Oreochromis niloticus: one gene and its partners. The protein of the gene in region 3 binds, or shares a complex with, the protein of the main gene of each other region. Links are inferred from orthologs where the notes say so. Each region holds a gene or a part of one and is shown on either strand. Other genes may lie near its edges. The genes, in order: seh1l, castor1, mios and wdr59.

Region 1 (6,945 bases), about 28 Mb from region 3:
AGAAAAAAAAGGATAGAAGCACTGTATGAATGTGTGTTTTGGTGAAGCACTTTGAGTTATAAACCAAGTAGAAAGATACTATACAAGTAGCAGTCCACTTACCAGTATATAGACACCGCCTGAATAAGACCAAACTATGGATCAAGGTAGATCAAACAGACCCATCCAGGTAACGCCCAAAGTTACAGACACTATAGCATCCCATCTATCCAATATTTTTCAAACAAGAAGAAACTTCATATAAACTTATGGACCAATTCCAAATGATCTGGTGTGGAATGACTTGAATAACTGGACAATTTAACCTATGACTAAATCATTATTCCTAGTATTAACAGCAGCAACTGCTGCTACACAGCTACAAAGCCTGAAGCTTGGTAGGAGGGCAAAGGTTTCCTAACTGGAGGACATAATGGTTGCCAATATCAGTCTGCTTGATTACTGGGATCAATACTCTGAAAACAAACACGCTGGTTAACCTGATTACAACATATTCACAAGTAGGTATTTGCACCTCAGTCAGTAGAGAAAAAAAAAAAAGCTGTTGTGGTTTGATGAGAACCTGTGCAAAAATGTCAGCTTTCTTTACACAGCTGAACCAACAAATCCTTTATTTTGGAAATGACCAATGGCAACTATGAGTGAACAAAAGTCATTCAATGCCTAGTGAAAAGTACTATTCACTGAATATCCACATTAAATAGCTTTTACTAAAGCTGTCACTGAAGTAAAAGGAAGACAAACAAGCAGTTGTTAAGAGCCCCCTCACCTTTCCAGAGGCGCACACAGCCATCATCCCCAGAGGAGGCCAGCAGGGTGCTGGTGATATTCCAGCTCACACGCCACACCTGAGAGTTATGGTTGTCAAACTGAGCCACAATCTGCACCTCAAATTTGGTGGGTCCTGTGGACGTGCTCTCCTTCCTGTCAGGAGGACACAGGAAACAGGAAATTGAATTTTTATTTTTCATTATCTTAAAAAGAGAACATCTGCTCAGGAACTGCATGCAGGGCTTCAGTGCAGTATTTGTGTGACTCCACCAGTTTCTGTGCGTTGTGACCTTCCATAAGACAGAGTGCAAACACTCACCTCATCGGAACTAGCTTAAATATTCGAACATCTTTTGTTGCAATGGCGAGCACATGGAAAGATCTTCCCAGGTTTGGAGCAAACGCGATGTCATGAACCGCATCAGTGACCGTCATAAGTGTCTCTGCTTTGCCATATTTCCTTTTAAACAGATAAATATTAAAATCTATCATTTATTTTGGTATATCTTCATAATGCGATGGTTAGTGCATCACTGATAATGAATACCCACCGTGTGTTTTCGTTGTACTCGTAGATCTGAACCTTCCCACCGTATGTTACATTGCTGTCGTCACTCCCCACAGCAAACATGGGAGGATGGGCACGTGAGCTGTTGGTAGGAGACAACGCATGGTTACACCAGCAGACTGTTAACAGCATGGTGTTACATACACATGAAAAGGTCAAGTGATACTTGCACAGCATTATTCATTATGTTGTTATACCTGCATGTCTATAAGTCACATTAAGTCTAGCTGTAAGCTGTTTTATTGAAAGAATTAGTGGTAGTAATTGTGTTATTTCATAAGCACATTAACTGAAAACATGGTCTAACATATGCAAGCAAATAATATAAAAGCACTACACCTGCTCTCTACATTTGAATCTCATCTTGGTTTCCTACACAAAGTAAACCAGCAGTCTAACCTGGAGGGGTTCCAAGAGATGCAGCTGCAGCTGAGCTTGCAGGAGATCTCATGCTGCAGGGACCACTGACTCAGGTTCATCACATCAGGAGCCTCGTAGATCCTCACCACCCCATCCGCAGAGCAGGTGGTCAGCATCAGACCCATGTGTTTAGGAGCAAACTTCACATCGGTCACTGAAGTTCTACTGTCCACTAGCGTGGTTCTCTTAATCTAGAAAAGCCCAACATGAAACACTCAGGTGAAATCTAACAAACAGTTATATTAAATGGGAAATGCAATGCAAGCGTACTAACCCAGTGGCTAAGTCCCCTCTGCTTGTCATTGGACTCTCCTACAATCTCCTCCCAAACAGCAGCTGTTCTGTCAAAGGAGCAAGAAGCTAGAACCTGTCCAAATTCTGGATGCGCCCAGGTCACTCGCCACACTGATCCACTGTGTGTCTGGACATAACAACATTCATCTATTAACTCCATCGATACTTTGAATGTAATGCTGTGTCCATACTCAAAAAGACAAACATAAAGTAATAAATAAAAAAGAAAAGGAAATGATGGTGGTTTACCTTCCAGCTGGCTGTGCAGTGCCACTCTCCGTTCTCACTTTTGTCCCAGACCTGAGTGGAATAAAATCAGTCTTGAATACTGCTCATGTGTCTGTGCACAATTATCACCGATTTTGCACTGACTTTTGTATGTACGTCCTTTATTATGTCGTCACATAATAAAAAATACACCGATAGCTCTGTCGGAAAACTCGGCAGTGCTTAACTACACTACTGTGGTATAGAGCTTATCTGTAGCCAGCCTAGCTCGTGTGCTACAAGCACCAGAGCTAACAGACTAGCATTTTAAACTGAGATAACTTCCCTCGAGTGTAATAACCAGAGGAAGATTTTTCAAACAACCTCATGCCATGTCTGTCAGGAAAACGAGTCAGTAATTTCAGTATGAAAGGTGAGAGTGTCGGTAATGTGGGCAAGGCTATCCTGCTAGCTGTAACGGCTAATGCTAACATTAGCAAACTATGATGTAAAGCTTACCTTGACACTTTGGTCACTGGAGCAAGTCGCCATCCTCCGGCCGTGAAAATCATACGATACGTCATGAATTAGATCTTTATGATCTGCTGCGATACTACGCGCAACAAACATGATAACAACTATGTACCGGCAACTCTAGCTGGGACGATTAACTGGCAGGCCTGTCATGTGTCTACTTATGCTGTGTGTTTATTTGGCGGTAATGTGATTGTGTGTAGTACAAGTTATTGACCACACGGCGGCGCATGCACACAAATTTTAAGCAGCTCAAAGCGACTTTGGGATTCTTTATAAGAAGATAAAATATATCGAAAGCTATTCCGTGAAAAACTGCTACAGCTAGAGTTACTTTGAAGATACGTAGTCAGATAAACAGACAGATTAATAGGTTTATTAATACATAACTGCCAAAGTAAATATAGTAAGTAATATATTGTCAAAATTTATTGCCGCCTCTTGCGCGGTTGCCAGGTTTGATCCAACTGACAGTTTTTTTCTTCGCTAACTTTATTAATAAAAGTTAATTTCAAGTAACAATATTTAAACAGATTTGTGCAAAGGAATTTTGTAAAGGCATAAAATAATAGTACTTAAAAACATTCAGTAAAGAGATTGTGAAAGAACTTTAATGCGTTCAATAAGAGTATTGCATTAATTAATTAAATTAATGCATTCATTGAAATACTGCAACATATCTTGTTTTTTTGTTTTTCGTGTTTTAAGTAAGGCCAGAAGAATCTGCCAGTTAGAAACAACTGAATAAAACACTGAGCTAAGTGTCAATATCCTTGCGTATGTTTTTTTTAAATATTAATGTTAATATCAGATTTTTGTAGTTTAGTGTAGTTTAGTTTTGTTTTTTGTATTTTTGTGTGTGTGTGTGTGTGTGTGTGTGTTTGCGGAAGGCTGTGATGAACGCATATCTGGCAACCCGGGTCAGTCAGCGTGCAGGCAGCAAGCAAGCAAGCAGTATTGTGCCGGAGCAGCAGACTCCCCGCAGGGATTCCTAGGGTTACACACACTGCTGTTTAGATGGCTGACAGAAAGGAGTAAGTTGGTGAACGGTGCTGAAAACACTCTGAGATTATTCCGGCAAGTGTCTGGGTTCACTAACTACAACACAATGGAGGAAGAATTTCAAGACATTGATTCGTCGGGGAGATGGCAAAACCTTTACAATGTAAGTCGGGACACTGACCGGGCCTCTCTTGTTTCTATGACGATCGGTTGCTAACTAACTTAGCTAGCTAATTTGATAGCTATCAAGTTAGACACCACTTCGAGTTTTTGGTCACTTTCCCGTCCACGCTTTTAATTGTGTAAATTTCTACACTTCGTGACATGACTTCCAAGTTCTTTATACATATTGGAGTGCACTTGGTAAAGACGAATGAGTAACTAGCATTTCGCGCTAGCTGACTTCCGTAGCTGGAAAACGTGCATCGGCACGATCTTCACTTCGGTTAGCTAATGCTGGCTGACGCTAGCAGACGTCAGCCGCAGTTTCTGAGAACTCATCAGGACTTCCACAGAAAAGCGTGTTGTGTTTTACCACGCAGCACAGCATTTCGTTTATAATATGTCTGTTCCGGTTAAACTTTGGCTATGACCCTGCAATGTGCAGCTGCGAACTACAAAGATGCCATGTAACTAGAGCTGTTTTTTCACACATGAGTGTTAATAAATTAAGAAGAAATGAACGTGCACACTTTATACATTTTTAAAAAATGTTTTTAAAAAAAACCTTTCAAAACCTTTTTTTGACAGGGAGCGGGGGGTATTTATAAAAAGTGCATGGATAAGTAATTTCATAAAAGATCAAATTTCTTTCATGCAGTCCAGTCCTACTGAGAATTTAAATGGGACTGAACAGACATGAGAATACTAACACTTAATTTAATTTCTTACCTATTTTAAGGATAATGTCGTTAGCATGATAATCTATTTAAACCAATAGTGCTCATTGTACATAATGATGCTTTTCAGTTCCATATGTTATGGGATTATCTCTGTCAGTTTACTTCTAATATGAGTCCCAAGCTTGAATAAATGGGGAGGTTTAAATCAGGAAGTCAAATATGCAGACCAAGAATACAGCATCATGTCTTAGTACATCTATGCACTGAAACTGTACTTTGTGTACTACTAAAAATTACTTTTGCCACTAGTCTTATCCATGGTGCTGTAGCTCAGTGGCAGTGAGGGGACACGCCCCTGCTCACGACAGTATTCTTGGGAGTGTCAAAAATAATTTTTGTTCTCCTTTATTCTTTTCTTGTGTCCAGTAAAACTGCTTCTGTTTCTCTAGAATGAAATAATAATAATAGAACTGAGTTCGCCCTTTGGCCTTGCCCATGCAGACTGTGTTGTAAAAGGAAAACAACAGCCTGAGGCATTGCAGTACATTAAGTTTGACAAATGACAATGAAAACAAAGCAGACCAGTTGTAATGAATTGAGTACAAAGGATTGAGGACCTTTGATCTCTGCGTATGGTTTTTCTTTTAATGTCATTACTGGTCACCACTCCAGTAAAACTGGAGGTACATGAATTGAACAGGTTGTGTCACTGTTTCCTGTCGCTGTTGTCTACTGAATCAACTCAAAGTGATGCTTCTGAGTTCCTGTTTGGTTTCTCATCTGCAACAGGAGATCCGTAACCAAGCCAGTGAATATTCCTACAAAGTGGCAAAGCTTCCAGTGAACCGGAATCTGAACCGCTACAGAGATGTCAGCCCATGTGAGTGTTACGATGGTTAAGGCTCTCATTGATGATATGTGCTGCCGAGAATGACGTCATCATAATTGCTCTGTGATCTCTTGCTTGGTTTCAGACGATCACAGTCGGGTAAAACTTGAAAACTCTGAAAATGACTACATCAATGCAAGTTTAGTCGATGTGGAAGAAGCCCAAAGAGCTTACATTCTTTCTCAGGTATGTAGATTGTAGGACAAGCAGTGTACACTGAACTGTCTGCACGGATATCTGTTGAACACATCTGCGTGCCACTCAAAGGAAAATACACAGGATTTGAGTTTGACATTTTGGGAGTTGTTGATGATCTCTGGATGTTATTCATTTATGTGGATTTTCTACTTTTGCTTTGACAGGGCCCCTTGAGGAATACATGCGGCCATTTCTGGCTGATGATTTGGGAACAGAGTTGCAAAGCTGTTATAATGCTCAACAGAGTGATTGAAAAAGGATCTGTGAGTACACTACAGCACCTGCTAATCATTACGTTCTGAAGTCCCCCTGCTGGCTAGGTTGTTTGAAAGTTTGAGGAGACAAATCTTTATTAATAGATGTAGATACATTTGCTCATCCCAAAAGGTTTGAGATCCAATGCCTGTTTCCACTGATGCTAAAATTCTGTGCATTTACAAGATGAAATAGAATCCAAGATACGTTTTATTGTGTTTTCTTTCTAGTCTATCCACTTTTATCTGGTAGACTAGAAAGGCTTTCAGCCCTGTCTTGGAGTTTTCAAAAAGATGACCAGATTTACTATAAAATTTAATTGGCTTGTTTTTCGTGCATGTACCATCTCTTCACCACGTTTCATGAATTTCACCCTGGTAGGTGTAATCATGCTGACAGACAGACTGAGAAGAATGCCACAATTTTGAAAAAGTGAATTGAAATACTGAAGAGCTGCACATGTTTAAATTCGTTATGGATCAAAGCCTAATTGAGATATTTTGGGCAGGAATCATGACTCAAATTCCTTTACTTGACAATGGAAAAAATTTATTTCCTTACATTTAAAAAAAAAAAAAAAAAAAAAAATCCAGTTTAAAATGTCTTTTTCTTGCTCTGTGGTGTTGTACTTCATCAGAACTCTGTGTTTCACAAGATTGTCTTAAGCTCTGTGGTCATGTTTTAAGCTGTACTGTATGTAAAGTTTCAGTTCTGTTGTTTCCATTTATTTGAAATTTTAACCACAGTTCCAGGAAAGTTAATGATTACTTAGTTTGTTTTTGCATTTAGTTTTGAATGTGTTTTTTTTTTATTTTTAGTTTCACTTGTATTTGGTTTTCATGTTTCAGTTTAGGTTTTACTCTGAAAAGGTTTCATTTTCAGTGAGGTTTCATTGTTGTGTATTTCATTGTTTTTTTGGGGGGGGGTTAAGTTTTTTTTTTTTCTCTCTCTCTCTCCACACTTTG
Region 2 (7,516 bases), on a different chromosome or scaffold from region 3:
TACTCAGTTCTGGTGTGAGAACACTGAATAAGATTAAAATATTATAATAGCTGGACATATTTTTAAAAAATAATTAGCAAAGTCAGTGCCCCAAACATGTTTTGACCAGCATCCAGTAACATGGGTCGGAAAAATAAGCTTCTGTTGAAGTAGAAGGAACACTGAGAGAAGGAGATGAAAATAACTACAAGTGATGAGGAAGCAACGGGTAGCGAGGGAGCGGCCAAGTGGGGAAGATGAAAACCAAGCACACAAGAGGTTGGACTTTGATCCAGCTGCACAAAACAACGGGGGGTAGCAGCACCTAGGGAGTGAGGGCTGGTGACGGCACTGGGCCTGCAACTGATGCTCCAGCTGAGAAAACATGATAAGCACACAGAAAACTGACGCTGAAGGGCGAGGAATGAGCCTCAAGCGACTCAAGTCCTATGATCAGAGCACGGCAAGTTGTCTGCTACGTTAGCAACTTATGAAAACAACACTCTTAGTTTTCTATCAGGCTTCCTTTTCGCCCCCCTTTTCCAAAAAGGCGGGTGGGTACGGGGTGTGGGAAGTCCTCTGTAAACAGGAGGAGTGGGAGCCCCAACCTTGACGGATCACTGAAGCAGACAAGTGGAAAACTCCCAACCGGGTTTCTGGCTCGGCTGAAGCATTGTTCCAACCCATGCTCTTGTTAGCTAGCCGCCAAAGAGAAGAAAGGAGGACTGTGTGGAGCCTGCGGGGCTACATCCACAATTCAGGAAGAACAATATATTGAGCTGATGCTGAGCTTCGTTTATTACTCTACCTACAAAGTGTAAACAACTACTAAAGACAAAGCCAGAATACTAGTAAGACTAGAATGGCTTGGAAGCCCAAGGTGCACATTTTTTCAGCCATTCTGGGAGGATTCACTGACATCCTTAGATATTTTATATTCTGCAAAACAGGGTATTTGACATTTATGTTTAAGTTGGTAATGACACTGACATTTACAGAGCAATATTGTAGCTAATAGTGCACACTTTATTCCATCATATGAATATTTCTTTGTAGACAAGTCAAAAGTGTTCCTTTCACTACTTTTAGCCTCTGCACTATAGACGTAGTAAGCGCCAGTGCTAAAGGACGCTGAAGAAAAATCCACTATGTCACATGTGAATATCTCCTTAAAATTCTGCTCAGAGCTGCGTTCAAATCACTTTGCACAGGGAGTTGTTCACAAATGAATAGCAGAGGCCTGAAAAAGGGAGATGGCTAAAAAGTGTCCCGGAGCAATCAGGCTTGTTTTTGCTCCCTGACTGAAATCAAGCAACTAAAAACAAATGTCTCCACCACTCCCCATTCCGCATCACCTAGCATTTGATCAAAAGGTGGAAAAAAAAAAAAAATATCCCTCTTGCTTAAGGAAAAAGAAACAGGAAAAACAATGGTGACATAACTCCAAAGCATGAACAAAATGCCCTTTTCTGGTTTATTCAGTGCTTCGCCTACTTTTTATCCATATACTGAATGCTTCACTAAACCGGTTCAAAAAATGCTTATGCCTTTCAAGTGAGTTTTTAAAAATAACTATATACTTATATGGGTTTTCTTGTTAACCGGTTGCCCAATGCCTTCCTCACACAAATCCCACACATCTATGATTATTCACAGAGACATGTTATTTACTTTCTACAGTACTGTAGTGTAAGTCATCATGACACAGTGTGTCTAGTGTGAACATGTCAAAACTTATTCCATTATCCAATACACAACAGAGTACTGATGAAAACAATCGAGCACGTACAGGGATGCATTTGAAAAGGAAACATAGACACAACGGGATTCATGGTCTTGTAAGAATGCACTTTTACTGCCCATCAGCCCCGAATAATGAAAAAGTTGCTCTCTTTTTAAGAGGAAGCCAAAATAAGGTACATCATAAGAAACTTTCAGAGTATGGTGTGATATACAGACTTCAGAATCCAGAAAGGCGATGACATAAGGAAGCGCTTTCTAGACAGTTGTTTACAGGTTCTTTGTTACTCAAACGAGAGCTGCAGCTGAACCCCGCACGGCCTATATCATGGTGGTCTGAAGACAGATGTCGAGCTCTTCTTTTGGCCATGTATATGTGGGCCAGCCGCAAGAATAAACAATTGCATAACAATGGAGGGATATCCAGGGATTAGCTGAAAACTGGTACTAATGCCCGGGTGAGATCAGAAAAATTTGCAGACTGAATGTTGGTTTCGAGCGCAGGATGTCATGTATTAAGTTTGTTTCGGAGAGACGGGGTCCAACCGAAATACACAACGGTACTGCACGCTTCTGAAGTAGTTTGATTAAAGTTGATTTTGTGCCCACTGGAAGAATCGCGTATTAAAGGTATGCAGGGCACAAAAATTCAGTTTGTTTGTTTAAATGCTGCAGATTTTGTGCAAATGCAACAATAAAACAGAATGTCTAAAAACAAAAGCTATTGCAATTCTTTACATCTACATGCACTGTTGTGAATCATTCATGGAGGCAAAGCATGTGCAGACAAATCGCCCAGTAGCTCGGCCACCCAGTGAATGAAGAGGCGCTGTAGGTTATCTCATATATCCGTACTGGATTACCAAAGCTGATTCGTAAAGCGAAGCGACATGACCATCTGGCCCGATCAATGAATCTCCTTACCGTGTCCTGTTCCGGAGAAATATCAGCTTTATCAGTGGGTGCGTGAAATTCACCAGGCCATTCTTGGATATACTGGTGACCCTCAGCCTGTGGTCCAATATGTGCAAGTCCATATTCCTGGTTGCGAACAGTTCCTCTCCACTGCTCTGTTCCTGCATGCGGCGGAGAAAACGCCTTCCTAGCTGGATGATATCATTCAAATGTTAAAGAGACATAAGTCATGAGTATTTCCGCCGACTAAAAACCCCACGTCACGCTGGTGCTTCTCTCAGAATAGAGAAAAACATGCGACGCAACCAGACGCCAGCCCCGCTTAACTACTGTATATTCAAATAAAGGGACAGCCCTAGAAAAGACACGCCCCCTCCTCTTAAAGCTACAGGTTTATGCCGCTGTTTGGCACATGCACGCAGGGGGGGTGTGAAACGAGCTGTGACAACTTCCGGTTTTGTTTAAAAAAATTAAAAGCCATCAAATATCCTCATAACAGTTTCTGTTCATTTAGCGGATTTGACTGCACAACTAAAACAAAAGATTACAATAATTATAACTATTACTATTATTACAATTATTTACATTTTTTTTCATAAGAGAGTGTAAACAAAACAATATCAGTATCATTTTAAATATGATTACTTGCTGCTTTCCCCCTCCATCAACTACCCATGCTGAAATCTACCAAAGTTGTCTAATGACTCTGCCATAGCAGGCCTCATCAAAGTTGAGGATGACCCAGAGTACAGATAGTGGCCTGGTGCCAGCAGAATCATCTCCTGATCAATGCAGGGAAAACCAAGGAGCTGGTGATGGATTTCAGATCCACCACACCAACACTAGTGAACATCCAGGGAACTAGCATTGAGATAATGGACTCTTATAAGTACCTGGGTGTACCCCTACCTGAACAATAATCTGGACTGGCGTCACAACGCTGATACTCTTTACTAGAAAAATCAGAGCAGACTACTTGCTGAGAAAACAGATCTTTTGGAGTGCAGGGTGTGCTCCTGAAGAGCTTTTTCGACTCTATGGTGGCGTCAGCCATCTTCTGTGGTGTTGTCTGCTGGAACAGCAGCTTATCTACAGCTGAGAGGAAGTGGTTGGATAAGCTCATCAGGAAGGCCAGCTCTGTTCTAGGATGCCCCCTCGACCCACTGCAGGTGGTAGGAGGCAGAAGAACTCTGGCCAAAATAAATCAATCTTGGACAACGTCTCCCACCCCATGTATGAATCTGTTGCAGACCTGGAGAGCTCCTTCAGTGACAGACTGCTGCATCCTAGCTGCACAAAGGAGCGCTATCACAGATCCTTCCTCCCAGCAGCTGTTAGACTTTGTATCTATCACTGATCCCAATGAACACAATAAGTTGTTTGCGTCACTGCTGTTATTTGTACAGTTTTTCAGTGTTCTGTAAATACTTTCTCGTTGTTGTTTTTAAGCACTTTTCACAGCACTATCACTGATTCTGTAAAAAAAAACAACCAAAACCCCAAAAACATCCTACTCAGCTGCACATTTCTTTGAGTCTGAGTATATTTTTAATAACTATACAGTATTGTTTTTGTTACGTTGTAAATTTGCCATGTGCTGTCCATTTGTTTTATTTTATATTCTTTACTTTTGTGAGAATCTGTATCTGCCTGTCACTTTGGTGCTGGAACATGTGAATTCCCCAATTAGGGACAATAAAGGATATTTCTATTTCAGTAACGTTGCCCAAAGGTCAATAAAGAAATGCTTGTTGAACTTGACCTCTGAGTAAAATTCTTGCGACCTTAATGGCCATAGACTACAGGTGAACTCACTGACTAGTTGCTTGATAGTTACTTCATATTTTATTGATCTGATCTTATATGATAATGTTTTCATTTATCAGATGATCGCAGGTGTTACTTTCATAAACAGAAAAGTGTCAGTCATAAACTCGCATTTCAGGATTAATCCAGTAGAGAAGAATTACTCAAGATAAAGAGATGCAACTCTAATGATGTTGCTCAGGGTGACATGGTTTTTATGACACTTACATAGCTAGTCTATGAAAAAAAGACTACAGTATGGTTTTCCATACTTTTGTTTTCCATCAGTCTAATGTTGATTCTAAATATTACAATAATCATATTTTGTGTAGGTCACCTATTATTTCCCAAAAAAATATCCCAGATTAATGTATTAATTTATGTAACATCTTTACACATTGACTTTAAATTATAATTGAATCTGCAAAATTGAAATGTACTTAATTTTTTTAAGTACAATCAGTGAGGTGGGCTTTTGTTTTTATTTTTTTTTAATCAAACAGTTGTTTTACATTCACCGTTGCAAAATTCAGCATGATCTCATTCATTAAGTCATCCATGTACATTTAATAGTACTATCATAAAAATCTTTATTGTGGAAAAGAAAACAAACAAACAAAAACCCCAATATGTGTTCCGTTACATCAATTAATGATCAAAATAGAGCAAACACACCTCACTTCACTCCACTAAATCAGAACGTAAAAATTCCTCAATAACACCGTAACGCACAAACTCTTTTTCTCTTGTGTTTTCCCCCCCTTCACGTGTTTTATCTAAACCCTTGTAAATCTTGGTTTTTCAGGTTCTTTATACTGAATGTGCTTGGAAATTGTACAACTACTTTTGACTTTGGCAATATCACAAACATGGAATCAGAAGTTTTACTTCAATGCTTTTAGTAACAACACAGGTCATACAGAAGAAATGGAAACTACAATTCGTAAGACCAAAAAGTTAAGTAAAATTTGGTCATTGAATTATTTGCAGTCTCAGTCGCTTTCTCATTGTAAAGGTGAACTCTTAGTTGGAATCATTATTCTTGACTCCATACTTCGCAACAAAGGCACTGAGGACAGACAGAAAGACAGTTAGAAAATGATGTACTGAAAATTACAATTGTAATAATAAACAAACAGGAAAGCAAACAACAAACATACAGCTCTTAAAATTCTTCAAGCTGGGCAGTATCATTTTATAATTTGATGCTCACACTGCTTAAGTCTCATATTACCATGGATGGCCAATAAATTAAGATTTTTTTTAAATTATTATTATTACCGCAACCCTTTCATCTCCATCACTAACAACAATGGGGGAGGGGAGGCAGCATTATATAATTTTCTGATTTTGTGGCAAACATTTAAAGAAAACACTGAAGGTTTACTTTAGCCCTACTTCAAAGAAATACAGATTTCAGATCCAGTACACCGACCACATTAAACGTTTCAGCAGAAAATTGTTGGTAGGCAACTATGATTAAAAGAGTTTTGTGATCTACGAGTCTCAACTTTGCTCAATATAATTGCAGGTAAAAATAATCAATGAGGTATAAAGTAGCCCTGACAAAATCATTTTTCTTTTTTAAGGCATCTGGGCGAAGCATTTCTTTCTTACCTGTATAATACACGTTTACGTCCCATCCTTCTTTCCGCCAGGCAGAGTTTCTTGTCTCCTCTCGGGACTGGAGGCTCTCATAAGCTATGAAAAGACGGCAAAGAAAAAAGAAATTCCAATGAAAAAAGCAAAGCCAAAAAACTCCACCACACATATTATATTGCATTATGTGTGGATAAAATTTACAGTCACTGGCACCTTCGTTAGTTAAACCTTGCTAACATCAGGCCAAATCTCTTTTGCCATCAGAACTCAATTCTTAACCACACAGATTCAACCAGGTGCTGGAAACATTCCTTCGAGATTTTGATCCATTTTCACATAATAGGATCGCACTGTTACTGCAAATTCATTGGCTGCACATGCGGTACATGATGTGAATCTCCTGTTCTACCACATTTCAGGTAAGAACATGTAGTTCGTGGGTCACATATGGGTCAATTTGATCATAAATGTCAGACCACAATTAAATAATAACGTAAAAAAGCCACCCAAACATTTCTTCCCGTATGTTTTGAGTTTCAAGTATTAGTACATTCTGTCTATCAGTGAATAAAACAGCCCAACATGTCTTATGGAAAATATTTGCAATTACAACAATATGTCTCAGTATTTCCTCATGCTCTTGTCATTTCAAAGAAACACACTGACATAGCTCTTTGGCTGAATGCCCTTACTTCATTGAGATAATACAGGCTTCAAAAATGTGTGAAATTTATGATTCAAGCCCAGAGGCTTGATATTTTTAATATCATCTGAACCAGAGTTCAGATGATATCAAAAATATGGACAACCACTCATAAAACACCTTTAATACTTTGATTGACTCGCAATATAATGCTTCCTGTTCCAAGATGCAATCAAAAGTCCAAATGTTATGTCGAGTGTAAAATCATCCTTTGTTGATGTTTGACACACCTGGCTTATGTTGGAACCGTAACACTGAGCTTTAGTAATTCATTAGAATACAGAATGTATACAGGAGCATTCAGCTATCTGAAATTCAGCCAGACCAAACTTGTCAGACATTTTAACATACAGCAGTCAATCACCTCATCTTACAGGCATGTTTTAAGTGTAGAGTGCTTAATTACTCACCCCACAAGTGATGAACAACATAGAGTTGGCCAATCTGTGTGAAGAAACCGCCTACTGCCTCATTGTTTTCTTGTCTATGTTTGATTGCCCTCGCCCTGTTACAAAACATTATCTTATTTAGTATAAAGATCACTGAAACACTTCTGATATTTTCACTTCCACTGGAAGAGATTCAGACAAATGACATATGTTTAAATAAATTCAACGTGTCTCACCAGCGATTGCCCCATTCAATCATGGTTCCTGGCTGAAGCACAAGTAAAATATTAATTAGAATCATACCACCATCATATTTCCATAGAACTGAAAGACTGAAAGCACTATTTATCTATTATTCATAGCTACGTGTTTTTTTAACTGA
Region 3 (6,918 bases):
TGAGGTTTTACTATATCCTAATTTAGAAATGTTTAATGTGGAGAATTGATTTATTTAATATAAATTTATTTATTACATAATAATATTATAAAAACTTTCTCCTGTATTGTCTTGATGCATGCTCAATCACCCAGGCACCTTATCGCAAGACAGTTATGGATTCAAACTTTCCAGAGACATTTAAGTTAGCTGTATGAAGATGTGGCATAGATAAGCCTTTGAATAGTCGGTAGAACTCGATAGGTACTACACAGTCCCAGTCCTTTTCCAGAACTTTCAAACTAAAACAGGAAGTAACCAAGTAGCTGTGGTAGCACTCATATAGTATATTTTTTGTTTCTCTGGACTGAATCTATAGTCAGCATCTTTATAGTAAGCGTCTTTTTTGCCATTCAGTAAGCTTTGTCAGGCTCTTCAATAACTGAAGTTTATTTTCAAGCACGACGTTTTTCTAAAAAAGCATTTCACCACTCTGATGTTTCTCGACTCTGTACTTGCACCTCTGTGCCTGAGCTCATTTTACGTGAAGCCAACACTCACCATCTCTTTGAGCAGCTTCTCTTCCAGCTGAGAGTCGAGCATACTTTGGACAAACTGCTGAGCAGGTGTGCTGGCGATGGCCCGGAGCTTGGCAATATTCTGCTGGGCAATATCTGATAGCCCAACAGCAAAGAACTTTATGCCATGACCCTTGGCCTCCACAGCAGCTGCAATCACATCAGGGTTACGGGGATGATCGACTCCATCTGTCATTAGCACCGCCACCCTCACGCTGTCCTTTGAGGTCTCATGCACCAGCAGCTGTGAGGCGTTGGTGATGGCGTAGGTGGTATAGGTGCCGTGACCGATGTAGTTCATGGTGCTGACTTGACCGTGAAAATAGTCCAGGTCTTTCCAGGCTGAGAATCTGTGCTCTATGGACACAGTGCTGCTGTACTGCAGTGCAGCCATCCGCACCTTCATCGTCCAGCCGGGTACCTGGAGCATGGCGAGCCGGGTGCTGAAGCTCAACACGAAGGTCTTCTGTTTCTCAAACAGTGATATGGTTGCGCTCTCAGAGCTGTCCAGGATGAACGCCACTTCCAGTGAACATGTCAGACCTACTTGAGAAGGAGATCACAAAAACTCACATGAAGCTAGAAGTATTAGAAACAGGACTAATTTCAGGATTGGCACTCTGACTCCTTTCTAACTTCTTTCCACAAATTCAGTCCCTTCTGCCAGCAGTCGGTATGTATCCATGTACACTGTCAAAAGTGCTCTAATGTCTCGAGGAACACATCGAACAGCTGTGGGTTCAAGTGTGATCATTAATTCATGAAATATTCTGGAATAAACCTGATTCGGGGAAAAAACCCACTCCCAAATTCCTAATACCAGATGCCACAGGAGACCTATAAAGGTCTTGTGTCCTGAGCCGTTTTGGCAGCATGAAGGGAAGCTACACAAATAATAAATACAGAGACTTAATTTTGTGGCAAGTCAGTGTAAGTGCAGCTTGTGGAAAAGTAAAGCAACAGTTTTGAGTAGTTCTACATTACTAAAACTGTCAAGTAAAGGCTCAAGGACCAAGTGAAAGACCCCAAATTGTCAACTTCCAACCTTAGAACTTACAGTTACTTTAGTTAAAGTTCCTCACTTCAGTTGCAATGGGATCAGAGTTAATGGTGTTTGTTTTTGTACTAAATGAAATCAAATTGCCACATGTATAATCCATCCATTTTTTTTACATTTAAAAAAAAAGGCACTTAAAGGAAGGCATCGTGGGTGGATGACTTAAGAACTTCTCATGTAGTTTTATTTTAACTTAAAATTTGATGACTCAACCATTTCATTGGCCTGATTTCACCATCCCTCATTCAACAATTTGTTCTGTCAATGCAACATAGTGACTTTCACCACCAGCATGTGGAGACCTCATCTAAAAATTACCATTTCTTCCCTCATCTTGCAGCCTGTAGTTGTTCCTGCGCCCTGTCTTTCTCCTCTGGCCTGTGGCCTTGTGTAGGAGAGCCAGCAGCAGAAGGCAGACCCCGACTCCTCTGCTCAGGTTTCCCTTCAGCAACATCCTAACAGAGAAAAGAGGAGAATGTTAGGGGGGAAAGCAGTGTATGCAAAGCACAATGAGTTATTTCATCTTTAACAGGATTCCTTTTACTATCATGGACACTGCTAACCACACCCAGTTGCAGATCCCAAAAAAGGGAGCTGTGTTCTGCAACGGCAGCAATTCTAATGGTATTAATTTGCTTAGGTGACACCGTTCCTCCTACTGATAATGCACTTTCTCAAATACTTACTATATTACAGTGCCAACAATATGTAAATGTGTGTAAAACCAGAATAATCTGTGCAAATACTTTTCTGTTAACAGGTTACAAATGCTGCAGAATCTAAACAAATATAAAGTTAAAGCTGCCAGGTGATTGAGAAAAGGTCACAGCAAAGTACCTAGTTTGCAGTGCAAATACTGAAGTTGCCATTCAAACTGTGACACCACGAGTGTCACTACTTTGTAAAAAAAGTTTTAAAAACAAAGCAAAGATATCTTTTTTTTTATTACCTCGAATCTCATTTAGCTGCAGCCAGTGTTTGTAGTCCAGTCAGCTCTTTGAGAGGCATTTCTCCGCGGAACCCCGGGTCCCTATAAACCAGACTGAGATAAACTGAGGACCATCGCATGAGCTGATGTGCTGTGTGTGTCAGAGTGTTTGTAGCCGGGGGCCCTCCCTGGTGCCGCTCCAACATTTTAGTCCAGTGCAACGCTTCATGCCTGACAGAAGGGATCCCGTGAAACTCTTTTGTGCACATTGAGTCCATGCACTGGAATCATTTAGATTTTTGAGACGCCAGATAAATAGCATTTGCAATAGTCATCACTCCAAGTCATAAATAATGCATCTAAAAACCACTGCCAACATAAAATAAAGCAGACTACATTAGTTTGCAGGGATAAAATAATTTTAAAGTATTTTTTTTCTCGGCATCTTGTTTTCCTTAACAAACGTGTCAGTTTTCTGGCTATCATGGGTTGATTACTAAGGAAAATGGTTCTGCAAAAAATCCCAAATGAATTTCTTTCTCTTGCATTTTCCACTCTCCCCCACTAATGTGAAAAGCAGATGAATTGTGGTAGTATGATACTCTTGTACCGCGCAGAAATCGACCTCATTTCAATAACATTGTCAGTCCGACAACTCAACTCTTATTGCTTAAATACATTTAATAAATTAATTAACTTAAATAGTCATGATCTGAAATTGCCTAATTTCTTATATAAAACTGGCTGATTTCGTTGACTTCTTTTCTCTTTTTTATTCACTTAGCACCCTCTGCTGGTAAACCTCATCTTTAGCGGAACATGAAGTAGCTGACGTTGCTAATAACACGGACATGTTTTGGTGTAACACACAACATCCGCTTTGGCTCCAGGTTGCCCCTGGTCGACATGTGTATTTTAAGCTGTATCTCGTGCGTTCCTATAAGTCGTCTTTGTTGTGTTTATGTAAGTAAAACCTCTTCTCGAAATGCTCAAACGGATGTTTTCGACTGCTGGTTAAACTGGCGCGAGCGAAACGGTCACGCGCTTGCTCTCCCTTTACTTGTTAGCATTAGCTTAGTTTAGCTAGCATGTCAACAAACTTAAAAGTAATACTATAGCTGCCCACGGCAGCTTTTTAACATGCTGGGCGATGAATTCAAACCAACTGTGCTACACTTCCACACAGAATTTAGGTTATATTGACGGTTTGGTTCATTGTATCATTACTTTAACATGTTAAAAGACTTCTCAGAACTGTCTGTTGTCCACGTTGCGACCACTGCAGTCGGAGATGTGTAATATTTCTGCGCTGTCTCTGACCTTTGTTCATGTGCTCGTTTGTGTGATATTCTGCCGTATTTTCAGGCTGGAGAGGTTAAACTTCCCTGAAAACCTACTAGCTTCTGAATCATGAGCGGTTCCAAGCCCGACATCCTGTGGTCCCCCCACCACCCGGACCGCTACGTCATCTGTGACTCTGAACTGGGACTGTACCGGATCGGACCTGTGGGCAGCGCAGAAGCCAAGGCTGGCACCCTCCCACTCTCCGAGGAAACTGCTGCTACATTACTGGCCATCAATTCTGACACCCCTTATATGAAATGTGTGGCCTGGTACCCCAAGCACGAGCCGGAGTGTTTACTTGCCGTTGGCCAAGCCAACGGCAGGGTTGTGCTTACCAGCTTGGGCCAGAGCCACAACTCTGCATGCAAAGAGCTGGTGGGGAAAGAGTTTGTGCCCAAACATGCCCGTCAGTGCAACACTTTAGCTTGGAACCCTGTGGACAGCAACTTGTTGGCTGCTGGGTTAGACAAGCACAGGGCAGATTTCTCTGTCCTCATATGGGACATCAGCAGTAAATTGTCCCCAGAGACCAGTGTAGCAGCTGAGAAGATTCGCCTTTCATCTGTCGATTTGGACTCTAGCACAGTGGTGACCAAGCCGTTGTATGAGTTAGGCCAGAACGATGCTTGCCTCTCGCTTTGCTGGCTGCTCCGTGACCCAAAGCTGTTGCTGGCAGGCATGCACAGGAACCTTGCGATATTTGACCTGAGAAACACGAGTCAGAAAACATTTGTAAACACGAAAGCCATCCAAGGTGTGACAGTCGACCCGCACTTCCATGACCGCGTGGCCTCTTTCTTTGAGGGGCAGGTGGCCATTTGGGATCTGAGGAAATTTGAGAAGCCTGTGCTCACGCTGACTGAGCAGCCCAAGCCACTCACAAAGGTAGGATGGTGTTTGTTATAAAGAAAACTAACCAAAGGCCACAGTAATAAGGATGCACTAATATACTAGCTTTGTGTATTGGTCATGTTAACTTTCAGACTTCTGCATTCCTCATTTAAAATTTCTATCATTTATTAATATCTACAAAGTTTGTAAGTTCAATTTTAGTGAAATAAAGGTCAGCATGACAAGTGGCTCATTTAAAAATAAGTGATAACATATGACATATCTTATTTTCATACAAGGCTTCTCATCTGGCTGTGACTCCTTCTGTGTCAAAAAATGTTGTGACATAATTGTATTTTATAACCCAGAATTTGAAAATACTTACTCGAGGAACTACAACCATGATAATGAGTGGGTTTAAAGTTGATTCAATTGCAGTTTAAAAAACAACAAACAAACTGTGTTTGTGTTTTTTTTTTTTTTTTTTTTTTTATCTCTGAAATTTTCATGTGGTTATCTCCTTTTCTGGAAATGCTGGAATTTTTTTTTACCAAATTCAAAATTACAGTGTGTCTGTAACTTGACAAATATTTTCTTACTATTACGGTACAATTTGTTTTGGCTGCATTACATATACTAAAATTATTGTACCAAAAAAGAAGTCAGCTGATTCTGGCAGGGTCAGGTGGGAGGCACAGATTGATTTTTCAGGGAATAACCTCTGGTCATTCCACGCCTCTTCAGCAGTTGCTCAATGCCCCACATTCTGAGAACCACTGGTCTATTAGAAAATAAGATGTCAGCTTGTTTGCTTGTTTGTAACCCGTCAATTTTAGATTGCCTAAATCAGGGGTGTCCAACTCCAGGCCTCAAGGGCCGGGGTTCTGCAGGTTTTAGATATCACCATGGGTCAACACACCTGAATCAAATGATTAGTTCATTACCAGGCCTCTGGAGAACTACAAGACATGTTGAGGAGGTAATTTAGCCATTTGAATCAGCTGTGTTGGATCGAGAACACATCTAAAACCTGCAGGACACCGGCCCTCGAGGCCTGGATTGGACACCCCTGGCCTAAATGTTCAAAGACAGAGTAATGAAATGCTCAAATAATTTTAAACTCTTTACTTGGTCTTTGTCACAAAGACCTGTTTCATTTAAATGAAAAAAGAGGTAATAAATGATATCAAAAATAAGATTAAGATGCATTAAAAATGTCACATTGTTATTTTAAAGGTTTATATTAGCTCAGGGTTTCACAGTCAGGGCATGCTTATTCAGTAGAAGTCTTTTTTTTTTCCACTTTTTATTTTTTTATAGCTGATAAAATTCTGCTTTTTGTTCTCAGGTGGCATGGTGTCCAACCCGTACTGGCCTACTGGCCACGCTAACGCGTGACAGCAACATTATCCGCCTGTACGACATGCAGCACACTCCCACACCCATAGGTGATGAGACGGAGCCCACCATCATTGAGCGCAGTGTGCAGCCCTGTGAAAGTCAGATTGGCAGCTTTGCCTGGCACCCATCCTCTCAGAACCGCATGGTGGTGGTGTCAGCAACCAACCGTGTCATGACTGACTTCACGGTGTTTGAACGTATCTCACTGGCATGGAGCTCCACCACCTCTCTCATGTGGGCGTGTGGTAGACACTTGTACGAGTGTGTTGAGGATTCGGCGGAGGGAGTGGAGAGTATGATTGAGAAAGACATTGCCACTAAAATGAGGGAAAGGGCTCAGTCCAGGTACGGACATGATACCGTCCAGGTGTGGAGGAACCATTTGCTGGCGGGTGGGAAGGATGCCCAACTTAAGTCTTTATGGCATGATCTGTTCTATATCCTTTCAGGTGATGAAATGGTGGAAATATCTGCACGATGGCTTATTGATAATCTGTTTAATGGCAGAGAAAAACAGTCAGCCACCTGTTGAAACTGTATGCAGGTTATTTTTATTACTTTACAAAGCAGAAGTGAAGTGCTTCATTGCTCCGATGATGGTTCTCCTCATTTGAAGGTTTCTCCTCTAAAGACTTTATAGAGTAGATATTTATATCATTATTATTATTATTATTATTATTATTATTATTGTTATTATTACTTCAAAATGTAACCTTTCAAATTAGTTCAGTAAAGAATTCAACGTTTAAAAAGCTTATCATTAAGACTATGAAGCCTATAATGGGCATAATAACACCTTT
Region 4 (7,415 bases), on a different chromosome or scaffold from region 3:
GGAGGTGGTGGGCATGCACATGATGTTCAGAGGCTGCAACACAAAACAACAGAAATAAAAGGGTAATGCACTGATGCACTGGAGTCTGACCGGTGTGTGAAACCATGCAAACACAAAGACACCTGCAGCCCTCACAAAGCCTCATGGAGGCTCCTTCAAATATTTAAATATGAATGAGGTCTCCTGCAAACTGCAGCCGGTGACACGAGCCTGTCACAGTCTGCTACGAGCGCTCACTGAGGGGCTGAACCGAGGCTCAGAGTAACACAAAGGATTATTTTGAACTGTGAATCATGCAAAGCTGCTCTACGAGACTCCCAGCATGAAAACATTCTTCCCTTTAAACTCACCAGTAAACCCAGCAGCTCATCGTTGAAGGTCAGAAGCGGATCCCTCCAGAACAGGAAGCTGCTGAACTGGTTGCCGTCCGAAGTCGTCCGTGTGTCCGTTTGTTTTTGTCCATCGCTTGATTTTAAACCCTCCGTTGGACCCTGACAGAGCAGCAGCGATAGCAGACATGCTGTGTTTACGTGCACAACCTGGAGATACAAGCTCTTTTCTAACAGCACGGCACCCAACTCCATCCATCCGTCCAGGCCTCCAATCATCCGTCCATCCATCCATCCATCCGTCCAGGCCTCCAATCATCCGTCCATCCAATCATCCGTCCATCCATCCATCCATCCGTCCAGGCCTCCAATCATCCGTCCATCCATCCATCCATCCGTCCAGGCCTCCAATCATCCGTCCATCCATCCATCCATCCGTCCATCCATCCATCCGTCCAGGCCTCCAATCATCCGTCCATCCATCCATCCGTCCATCCATCCGTCCAGGCCTCCAATCATCCGTCCATCCATCCATCCATCCGTCCAGGCCTCCAATCATCCGTCCATCCATCCGTCCGTCCGTCCGTCCGTCCGTCCATCCATCCGTCCAGGCCTCCAATCATCCGTCCATCCATCCATCCGTCCAGGCCTCCAATCATCCGTCCATCCATCCATCCGTCCAGGCCTCCAATCATCCGTCCATCCATCCATCCATCCGTCCAGGCCTCCAATCATCCGTCCATCCATCCATCCATCCGTCCAGGCCTCCAATCATCCATCCATCCGTCCGTCCGTCCGTCCATCCATCCGTCCAGGCCTCCAATCATCCGTCCATCCATCCGTCCGTCCGTCCATCCATCCATCCATCCGTCCGTCCATCTCGCCATCCGTCCATCCATCCATCTGTCCATCCATCCTTAATGGCCGGGGAAAAACAGATGTTCTTCTCTCCAGACATTTTCTCGGGCATTTCCAACCCAGCTGCGAGCTACAACCTCTCCAGTCTGTCCTGGTTCTGTCCTGGGTTTCCTGTGAAACAGTTAACCTGCAGCGGTGCAGGAGGTATTCTGGTCGGATCCCCAAAGCACCTTAGCTGGCTCCCTTCAGTGTGGAGGACTAACAACCACTGCACGGATGTTCCAAACCAGTTCCACATCTTTTCATAGGAAAAAAAAAGCCAGTAAAGACACAAAACTTCTGTGCTCGGAGGTGGAACCACGCCACTGGCTGTGGGAGGGGACAGACATTCGCACAGCTCACAGAGTCCATCCTCCATGATTTTATTCTGTGGATGTTACTTTAAACTCTGCTTTGCAATCTTTGGTCTTACAACAGTCAGAATAATAGAGCTGGTTTCATCGGTGGCAGAGAAAATGTGTATGTGTTTGTAACAAAGGCAGCTCAGCTCATCTCGGTTTCTAAAGATTATTGACTTCAAGAATCAAGAAGCCTGTTTTCTACGATCGCTTTAACACATATTCACAGAGGAAAGGTTCTGAGCATTGAAACTATCTGTGCAAACAGACGTCTGTGTGAGAGTCAGCAGAGGGATTTAAAACCCTCTGAGGAAGTCGTTACAGCGAGAGACTGTGAGGTCCAGGTGCTCCTCGTCCTCTCACCACAGCATGAAATCTCAGCTAATCGCGCTTTTAACGTTTGTCACATCAAAAATACAAAAGAATAGAAAAAGTCTGAGGAAATGAACACGAGCTCCGAAACAACATCAGAACAAAGCTAAAAATTCTGTATTTTAAAAAATAAGCACAGACGAATGTCAGCAGAAGGTAAATCGTCCGATTTTCCCACATTTTAACTGGCAGCATAAAGAAATTCGAGATTTACAAGAAAGGAAACACCATTTTTAAACACTTTGAATGGAGTCTGGTATTTCTGGTCACACTGTCTGTGACATTCAGATTCTCTTAAATCTTGCAAATTCGGTTTCCTGATTCAAATAATTTCACATTATGAGCAAAAGATGCAAAAATTAAATGACAGAAACTTCTTATTTTAAAGCTACTGTCTCAAAACAATCTACGATCGAACCGAAGAGAGCTCTGTTTTTTCCTCACCAGTAAACCCAGCAGCTCGTCGTCGATGGCCGGCAGCGGCTCCCTCCAGAACTGGAAGCTGTTGAACTCATCGCTGTCAGTCTCGTTCGACGTCTTCTTTTCCGTCTCCGTCTGTTGGACATTCGGACTGTCTGCAGGTTTCTGAAGACACAAACACAAAGTGAGAAAATGTTCCTGACTGCACGCCGGCCTGACGGCTGACACGAGTGTCCGACTCTCACCTTGGAAGGAAAGTGGAACCCGGCGACGTTCATCGGAGTCTCGGGGTGGCGCTGTGTGTTCTGAATGTTCACCTGGATCAGAAAATAACCAGAGGAGTCTGCGTTTATCACAGTGTGGAGTTAAACTTCTACATGTCTGCAGTACAGAGTCAAGAATAGAATAGAACAACGCTTTATTGGCATTGTACAACAAAGGTATGGGTGCAATGAATATGCGACGCTAACTGCACAGGAGTAAAAACATACATAAATATTAAGCACATTAGGAATAAACAGCAAACAGAAGAGACGTACAGTCCAGAGAGAGTTCACACAAAAATCACACATAAACTTTGTTGGTCTCAGCCTTTCACAATAAGAGCGCTCTCTTATTCAGAGAGCCAGGAGAGCAAGTCTGTGTGCTGCAGGTACCTTAACCTCCGGCTCCTTCCTCAGGTGCTGCGAGCCAACGTTCTCCAGCTCCAGCTGGTAGGTCAGAGCCAGGACTTTGATGTCAGTGGCTGAGAGACTCGGATAGTCCCCGGTCTTCTTGGAGAACTCTGTCACTGAAAACAGACACCAGGACGTTAAATCACACCTTTACAGAGGTTTGGAAAGGGATGGGATTCAGATGCCCGCTCACCGTGTCTGATGTGCTCTGGATGTGGTTCCTTAAAGTGGAGCTGGTACGGCAGGAAGGCCAGGCTCCTCCTGGTGGGTTTGTCTCGGATCTCCTCCACCACATCTTTCAGGGTGTAGATGTTCCTGCCGATTTCCTGCCAAATAAAACAGAGTGAGAGAACATCAGGAAGCTTCAGCCTGATCTTTATCGTGGCAGCAGCCAGAATTCAGTTTTTTAATCCGCTTGAGGCTAAAATCTTTATTAAAGCTCCAGTGAATATTTATTTTACTAAACAAGGTTTTTTTTTCCTTTAATGATCTGAAAACAGAGACCAGATCCGGACCAAAAACCCGTCCACGTTCCGTCTACGTTTACACCTGAACTACAGCATCAGGTGATGCTTTGAACACCGTTGATCCAGTTCTCCTTTCTCTGGACTACATTACAGACCCGGGACCAGATTAGCACATTAAACTCAGTTTTATGGCCCTGGATCATTTATTGTCCCTATGAAAGCAGAAGAAGATCCTGTTTCTCGGTTTGTTGTCGGGGACCTGTTGGCCTCCAGCTCCACGCTGAGTCCTCTCCCCCCGGCTCGCCTCGCTGACACCTCCCGGTCTCTGAAGCCCCTCTCCCGGGTCACCCACACCCTCACAACCCCGTCCACTTGGATCAGGAGGGACAGACTCACCTGGAGAGGAGCTTTCTTTAAAAACGCTCCAGCATCTGCGACAACATGCTCTACCAGGGTGGTCGCCATCTTGGTTTGATGACCAGCAGCGGGAGCGACCAATCAGAAGAGAGGGGAAACACTCGTGACACGTAAAGCCGAAAACACGTCACTCATGTGGGAAAGTTGAACTTAACCATTAAAGTTGTTTTTTAAAAAGTGAAATAAAGTTTGTTTTCTTATTTAATTGATGTATTATTTTTAATCGATATATTTATCTAACTCATATTTGATATACAGTAAATATATATTTTATGTCCTTTAACAGTCCAATCAGACTTCAAGATATTTAAAAAACAATAGTACATGTTTATTAAGAGACAAAAATGTCAAAAGTATAAAATAAAAGGCAAATAAAGGAAAAAATCGTAATAAAACTTTACTTTTTATAATTAACAGAACAGTCTGAAGAACAGTCTTTTATTACTTATTCAACGGCGTTTGTTGTTCCCACTGTCCTGAACGCAGCGTTAAGTCACTTTAGCGTCACGTGGTGTTTGTTGACGGTAGGAGACGGAGAAAGATGGCGGCCCGCTGGAGCAGTGAGAATGTTGTGGTGGAGTTTCGGGACGCCCAGGTAAGTTTTTCTTTTTTAAAGTTGTATTTATTTTTATGTTTTTAATTTCATGCTTGTACGAAGCGCCTGCGCGCGCAGGTCAAGGAGCGTTTAAAGTCTCGTAAAAGAGAAAACTGCAGCTCAGTCCAGGTTTAATCACCCGGACTTCTTCTTAGTGTTTGTTTGTAGCTCAATCCAGTTCAATGTTGTTAATCGATTAATCGTTGGAGTTGTGTATGTGGCACCGAATGTGTGGAGGATTTTAAATTTAATAATGAATTACTCGCCAAAAAATATATACAATCCAACAAACAAACAGTAACTCCACATTAATGAATGTGGATCAGTTAGAATGAAAATTAAGTTAATCACAGCCTGAGTGATTAATCAGCCAATCAGGAAGTTAATCAGTAACAATTCGGGTGATTGAATAGTTGTTCTGGTCACTTTTAAAGCGCAGACTCCTCATAGTTTTGATGATTTTTGAGTATCTGTATATGTAAAAGTAAAATAAACAGAAACGATACATTTTTTGTGAATCGGCGGAACCTGATACGAAGTTGATAATAAATGATCACATCGGGTAATTTAAAATCACCTGAAAGCTTCAAAGCTTCGTTGTGTCAGCAGCAAAGGTTACTGACTTCTCTTTAATCTCACATTTAACACAGGAAACAGCACATCTGCTCTGCCTGAGAGGAAATCTCTCTGAACTGAAGTTCGATGATTTTAATTGTGTTTGAATTTTGATTGTCAGTAAAATAGACACAGTGAAAATTACATGACGTTAGCTACACTAAAAAACTGTCACTGCTGCTTTTGTCTCGTGTTTTCAGGCCACCGCCATGTCCGTGGACTGCCTGGGCTCCCACGCAGTGCTGTCCGGGTAAGTTTGGGTCACCCGAAGGCGCCACAGTCCTTTTCCTCAAACAGCAAATGATGAAATGTGTTTAATGTCACATCAGAAGCTCGTAATTATTCATTATTCAGTTGATTATTCAGTTTCAGAGCAGCTCTGTCCGCTGAGCTAGAATAAATGTTTGAGGGAAGGAACATAAGTGTAGTATTAATATATTAATAATATGTAAGTATCAGAATGACGGGATACTTATATTATTGACAAGTTAATAAAGATAAAAAGTGAAAATGGCCTATATTTATATAAAAAAACTACTTTATTATGATTTATGACCTGAAAAAATTGAAATTTGCAGCTGTGAATTTTTTTTTATGTCATTATTTAGAATTTCAAGAAAGTCAAACTTTGGTTAAAGCGTCAGAAATGTGGAAAACCTGTGTTAGAATTACAAAAATCAAATATTAATTATAATGAAAAATTATTATTAATAAGAAGTTAATGCTGAGACAAAGTCAGCTGTTATAAAAGATTTAATTTTAAATGATCTAAGATTACGAGATACAAGATAATAATAAATAATATTTTTCTGTTGTTCCTGTTTCTTTCATTTAAAAAACTTTAAAGCAAAGTAAAGATATCGTCCAATGTTACCCCGCCAGTGACAAATGCTTCATTTCTCCTGCAGCATATTTTTGTAATTTTTAAAAAACAAACAAAAAAATCTTTATTGTGATTGAAGATTTTAAATTCACATGATTTTACCTTCTGTCGTCGTAATCGTGCCGCAGGCGTCGCTTCCTGTACCTGGTGAACCTGGAGTCGCCGTCTGAACCGTCGCGGAAAATTGGGCGACAGAGTAAGTGGGACGTGGGGACGGTCCAGTGGAACCCGCACAGATCAGAGGCCCACGTCTTCGCCGCCTCTGTGAGTGAAACCTCCAGAATAATTCATCATAAAATCATCGCAACAGAAATAATGTCGTGTAGGTAAAGAAAGTGGAGGGTTTGTGTATTTCTGTGTGTGCGTGTTGTCCTCAGAGTAACCAGCGGGTGGATCTGTACTCGTGGAGGGACGGCTGCGGGGAAGCTCACACCTCCCTGCAGGGGCACACCCGGGTCATCAGGTAACAGCAGATCAAATCAAACGCACCCATCAGTGGGTAAACGCAGCCTCACTGATGTGTTCGTGTCCGCAGCGATCTGGACTGGTCCTGGTTTGAACCCGAGTTCCTGGTCACCAGCTCCGTGGACACCTACATCTACATCTGGGACACCAGGTCAGAGCAAAGGAAGACCTTCCAGTATCATGTTTATTATTTATTATTATCTGTCTAAGACAAAATATTCACACGTTCCCACTTTAACATCATGTAACCTGATATAACAGGTGTGATTACGACGACGTTCGCTGGTAAAATTATATCCTTATTATCTTTATCCTGATTCGTCACCTGGACTACGAAGCTGGTTTAACAAACCCAGGATATCTCGCTGTTATCTGGCTTCTCTTAGCCTGACATCATCAGTTAGACTAAGAGCTCACAGGAAGGTGGTGATCGTCTGAAAAATCCCGACAGTGTTTCTGAGTGATTTTTGGATTCTTTGTCTCTACAGAGACACTCGGAAACCCACGCTGGCGCTGTCCGCGGTCGGTGAGTATTTAAAGGGCCGGACTGTTTCCAAAGTCCTCCATCAGTGTCCACATGAACCTCACACAGCTGTCACATTCAGTTTGAGTTTAACTGACCTCCTCACAGTCAGTCAGAGTTAGGCTGGTTTATGTGCTATAAGGGGACACGTCCACAAAAGCCTGATCTCCTGATGGAGTCGGGCTTTTTAAGCTGTTTACGGTGTATTCAGCCTGTTTACACGGTGCTTGAAATGGGAGGGCTGAAAAATGTTTGTCTTCTGGTTAAAGGCTGTTCTCGTCACTGTCAGCTTGGTGAAGCGTGGGACAAATACTGATATGACCTCTGGTAAATAATTAGGATCAAGCTAGAGGGCACAGCAGAGAGCGCAGGCTTTACCGATGTAAACACCAAACAAGG

The links.
Region 1: the proteins of mios (region 3) and seh1l are in contact, whole or in part, in a cryo-EM structure (PDB 7UHY), measured with the Homo sapiens proteins. The link is inferred for Oreochromis niloticus from reciprocal best matches to the Homo sapiens genes MIOS and SEH1L. Residues at the interface, in NP_001357005.1 of Homo sapiens: Arg279, Arg316, Ser317, Phe353, Glu354, Arg355, Ile356, Ser357, Leu358, Ala359, Trp360, Pro362, Leu366, Met367, Trp368, Ala369, Cys370, Gly371, Arg372, Leu374, Tyr375, Glu376, Cys377, Thr378, Glu379, Glu380, Glu387, Asp389, Ile390, Ala391; in NP_112493.2 of Homo sapiens: Met1, Phe2, Val3, Ala4, Arg5, Ser6, Ile7, Ala9, His11, Lys12, Asp13, Leu14, Ile15, His16, Asp17, Val18, Phe20, Phe22, His23, Gly24, Arg25, Met27, Trp47, Ser173, Ser174, Ser175, Asn230, Leu231, Gly232, Arg233.
Region 2: the proteins of mios (region 3) and castor1 are in contact, whole or in part, in a cryo-EM structure (PDB 9LVK), measured with the Homo sapiens proteins. The link is inferred for Oreochromis niloticus from reciprocal best matches to the Homo sapiens genes MIOS and CASTOR1. Residues at the interface, in NP_001357005.1 of Homo sapiens: Ala83, Asn84, Val109, Pro110, Lys111, His112, Ala113, Arg114, Asp134, Lys135, His136, Arg137, Asn184; in NP_001032755.1 of Homo sapiens: Val94, Ser116, Thr117, Tyr118, Gln119, Thr120, Asp121, Thr188, Tyr236, Leu255, Thr256, Ser257, Ser258, Ala295, Tyr296.
Region 4: the proteins of mios (region 3) and wdr59 are in contact, whole or in part, in a cryo-EM structure (PDB 7UHY), measured with the Homo sapiens proteins. The link is inferred for Oreochromis niloticus from reciprocal best matches to the Homo sapiens genes MIOS and WDR59. Residues at the interface, in NP_001357005.1 of Homo sapiens: Asp705, Trp710, His711, Arg713, Ala714, Ile718, Ser721, Lys728, Pro729, Leu730, Ala731, Gln732, Val733, Phe734, Val735, Ser736, Cys737, Asn738, Phe739, Ile744, Lys780, Pro781, Leu782, Pro783, Leu787, Cys788, Leu789, Gly793, Pro795, Gln819; in NP_085058.3 of Homo sapiens: Tyr871, Arg876, Glu877, Arg879, Ala880, Glu881, Leu883, Lys884, Pro889, Pro890, His893, Lys894, Gly895, Ile896, Glu897, Phe898, Gly899, Val900, Tyr901, Arg906, Glu908, Val909, Arg910, Thr912, Phe922, Gln923, Ala925, Ile926, Cys927, His928.

The regions. Positions count from the first base shown.
Region 1 is NC_031976.2:5,534,466-5,541,410, forward strand, and holds the start of seh1l (nucleoporin SEH1), read right to left. Parts: upstream 3,008-6,945; 5' UTR 2,891-3,007; coding exon 2,780-2,890; intron 2,354-2,779; coding exon 2,303-2,353; intron 2,181-2,302; coding exon 2,034-2,180; intron 1,951-2,033; coding exon 1,739-1,950; intron 1,422-1,738; coding exon 1,323-1,421; intron 1,232-1,322; coding exon 1,091-1,231; intron 925-1,090; coding exon 770-924; intron 1-769. Other genes in the region: ptpn2a (tyrosine-protein phosphatase non-receptor type 2a), read left to right, coding at 3,903-3,959, 5,428-5,518, 5,613-5,713, 5,890-5,988. UniProt on the Homo sapiens protein: Component of the Nup107-160 subcomplex of the nuclear pore complex (NPC). The Nup107-160 subcomplex is required for the assembly of a functional NPC.
Region 2 is NC_031977.2:29,895,402-29,902,917, forward strand, and holds the start of castor1 (cytosolic arginine sensor for mTORC1 subunit 1), read right to left. Parts: upstream 3,002-7,516; 5' UTR 2,802-3,001; coding exon 2,644-2,801; intron 1-2,643. Other genes in the region: nipsnap1 (protein NipSnap homolog 1), read right to left, coding at 5,445-5,509, 6,058-6,141, 7,156-7,250, 7,371-7,402. UniProt on the Homo sapiens protein: Functions as an intracellular arginine sensor within the amino acid-sensing branch of the TORC1 signaling pathway. As a homodimer or a heterodimer with CASTOR2, binds and inhibits the GATOR subcomplex GATOR2 and thereby mTORC1.
Region 3 is NC_031976.2:33,238,737-33,245,654, reverse strand, and holds the start of mios (GATOR2 complex protein MIOS), read left to right. Parts: upstream 1-3,915; 5' UTR 3,916-3,952; coding exon 3,953-4,771; intron 4,772-6,065; coding exon 6,066-6,555; intron 6,556-6,918. Other genes in the region: col28a1b (collagen, type XXVIII, alpha 1b), read right to left, coding at 541-1,100, 1,933-2,068. UniProt on the Homo sapiens protein: As a component of the GATOR2 complex, functions as an activator of the amino acid-sensing branch of the mTORC1 signaling pathway. The GATOR2 complex indirectly activates mTORC1 through the inhibition of the GATOR1 subcomplex.
Region 4 is NC_031965.2:37,920,089-37,927,503, reverse strand, and holds the start of wdr59 (GATOR complex protein WDR59), read left to right. Parts: upstream 1-4,404; 5' UTR 4,405-4,476; coding exon 4,477-4,530; intron 4,531-5,345; coding exon 5,346-5,395; intron 5,396-6,156; coding exon 6,157-6,292; intron 6,293-6,405; coding exon 6,406-6,491; intron 6,492-6,563; coding exon 6,564-6,644; intron 6,645-6,981; coding exon 6,982-7,019; intron 7,020-7,415. Other genes in the region: RNA-binding protein NOB1, read right to left, coding at 351-491, 2,402-2,542, 2,623-2,694, 3,034-3,167, 3,245-3,377, 3,915-3,983. UniProt on the Homo sapiens protein: As a component of the GATOR2 complex, functions as an activator of the amino acid-sensing branch of the mTORC1 signaling pathway. The GATOR2 complex indirectly activates mTORC1 through the inhibition of the GATOR1 subcomplex.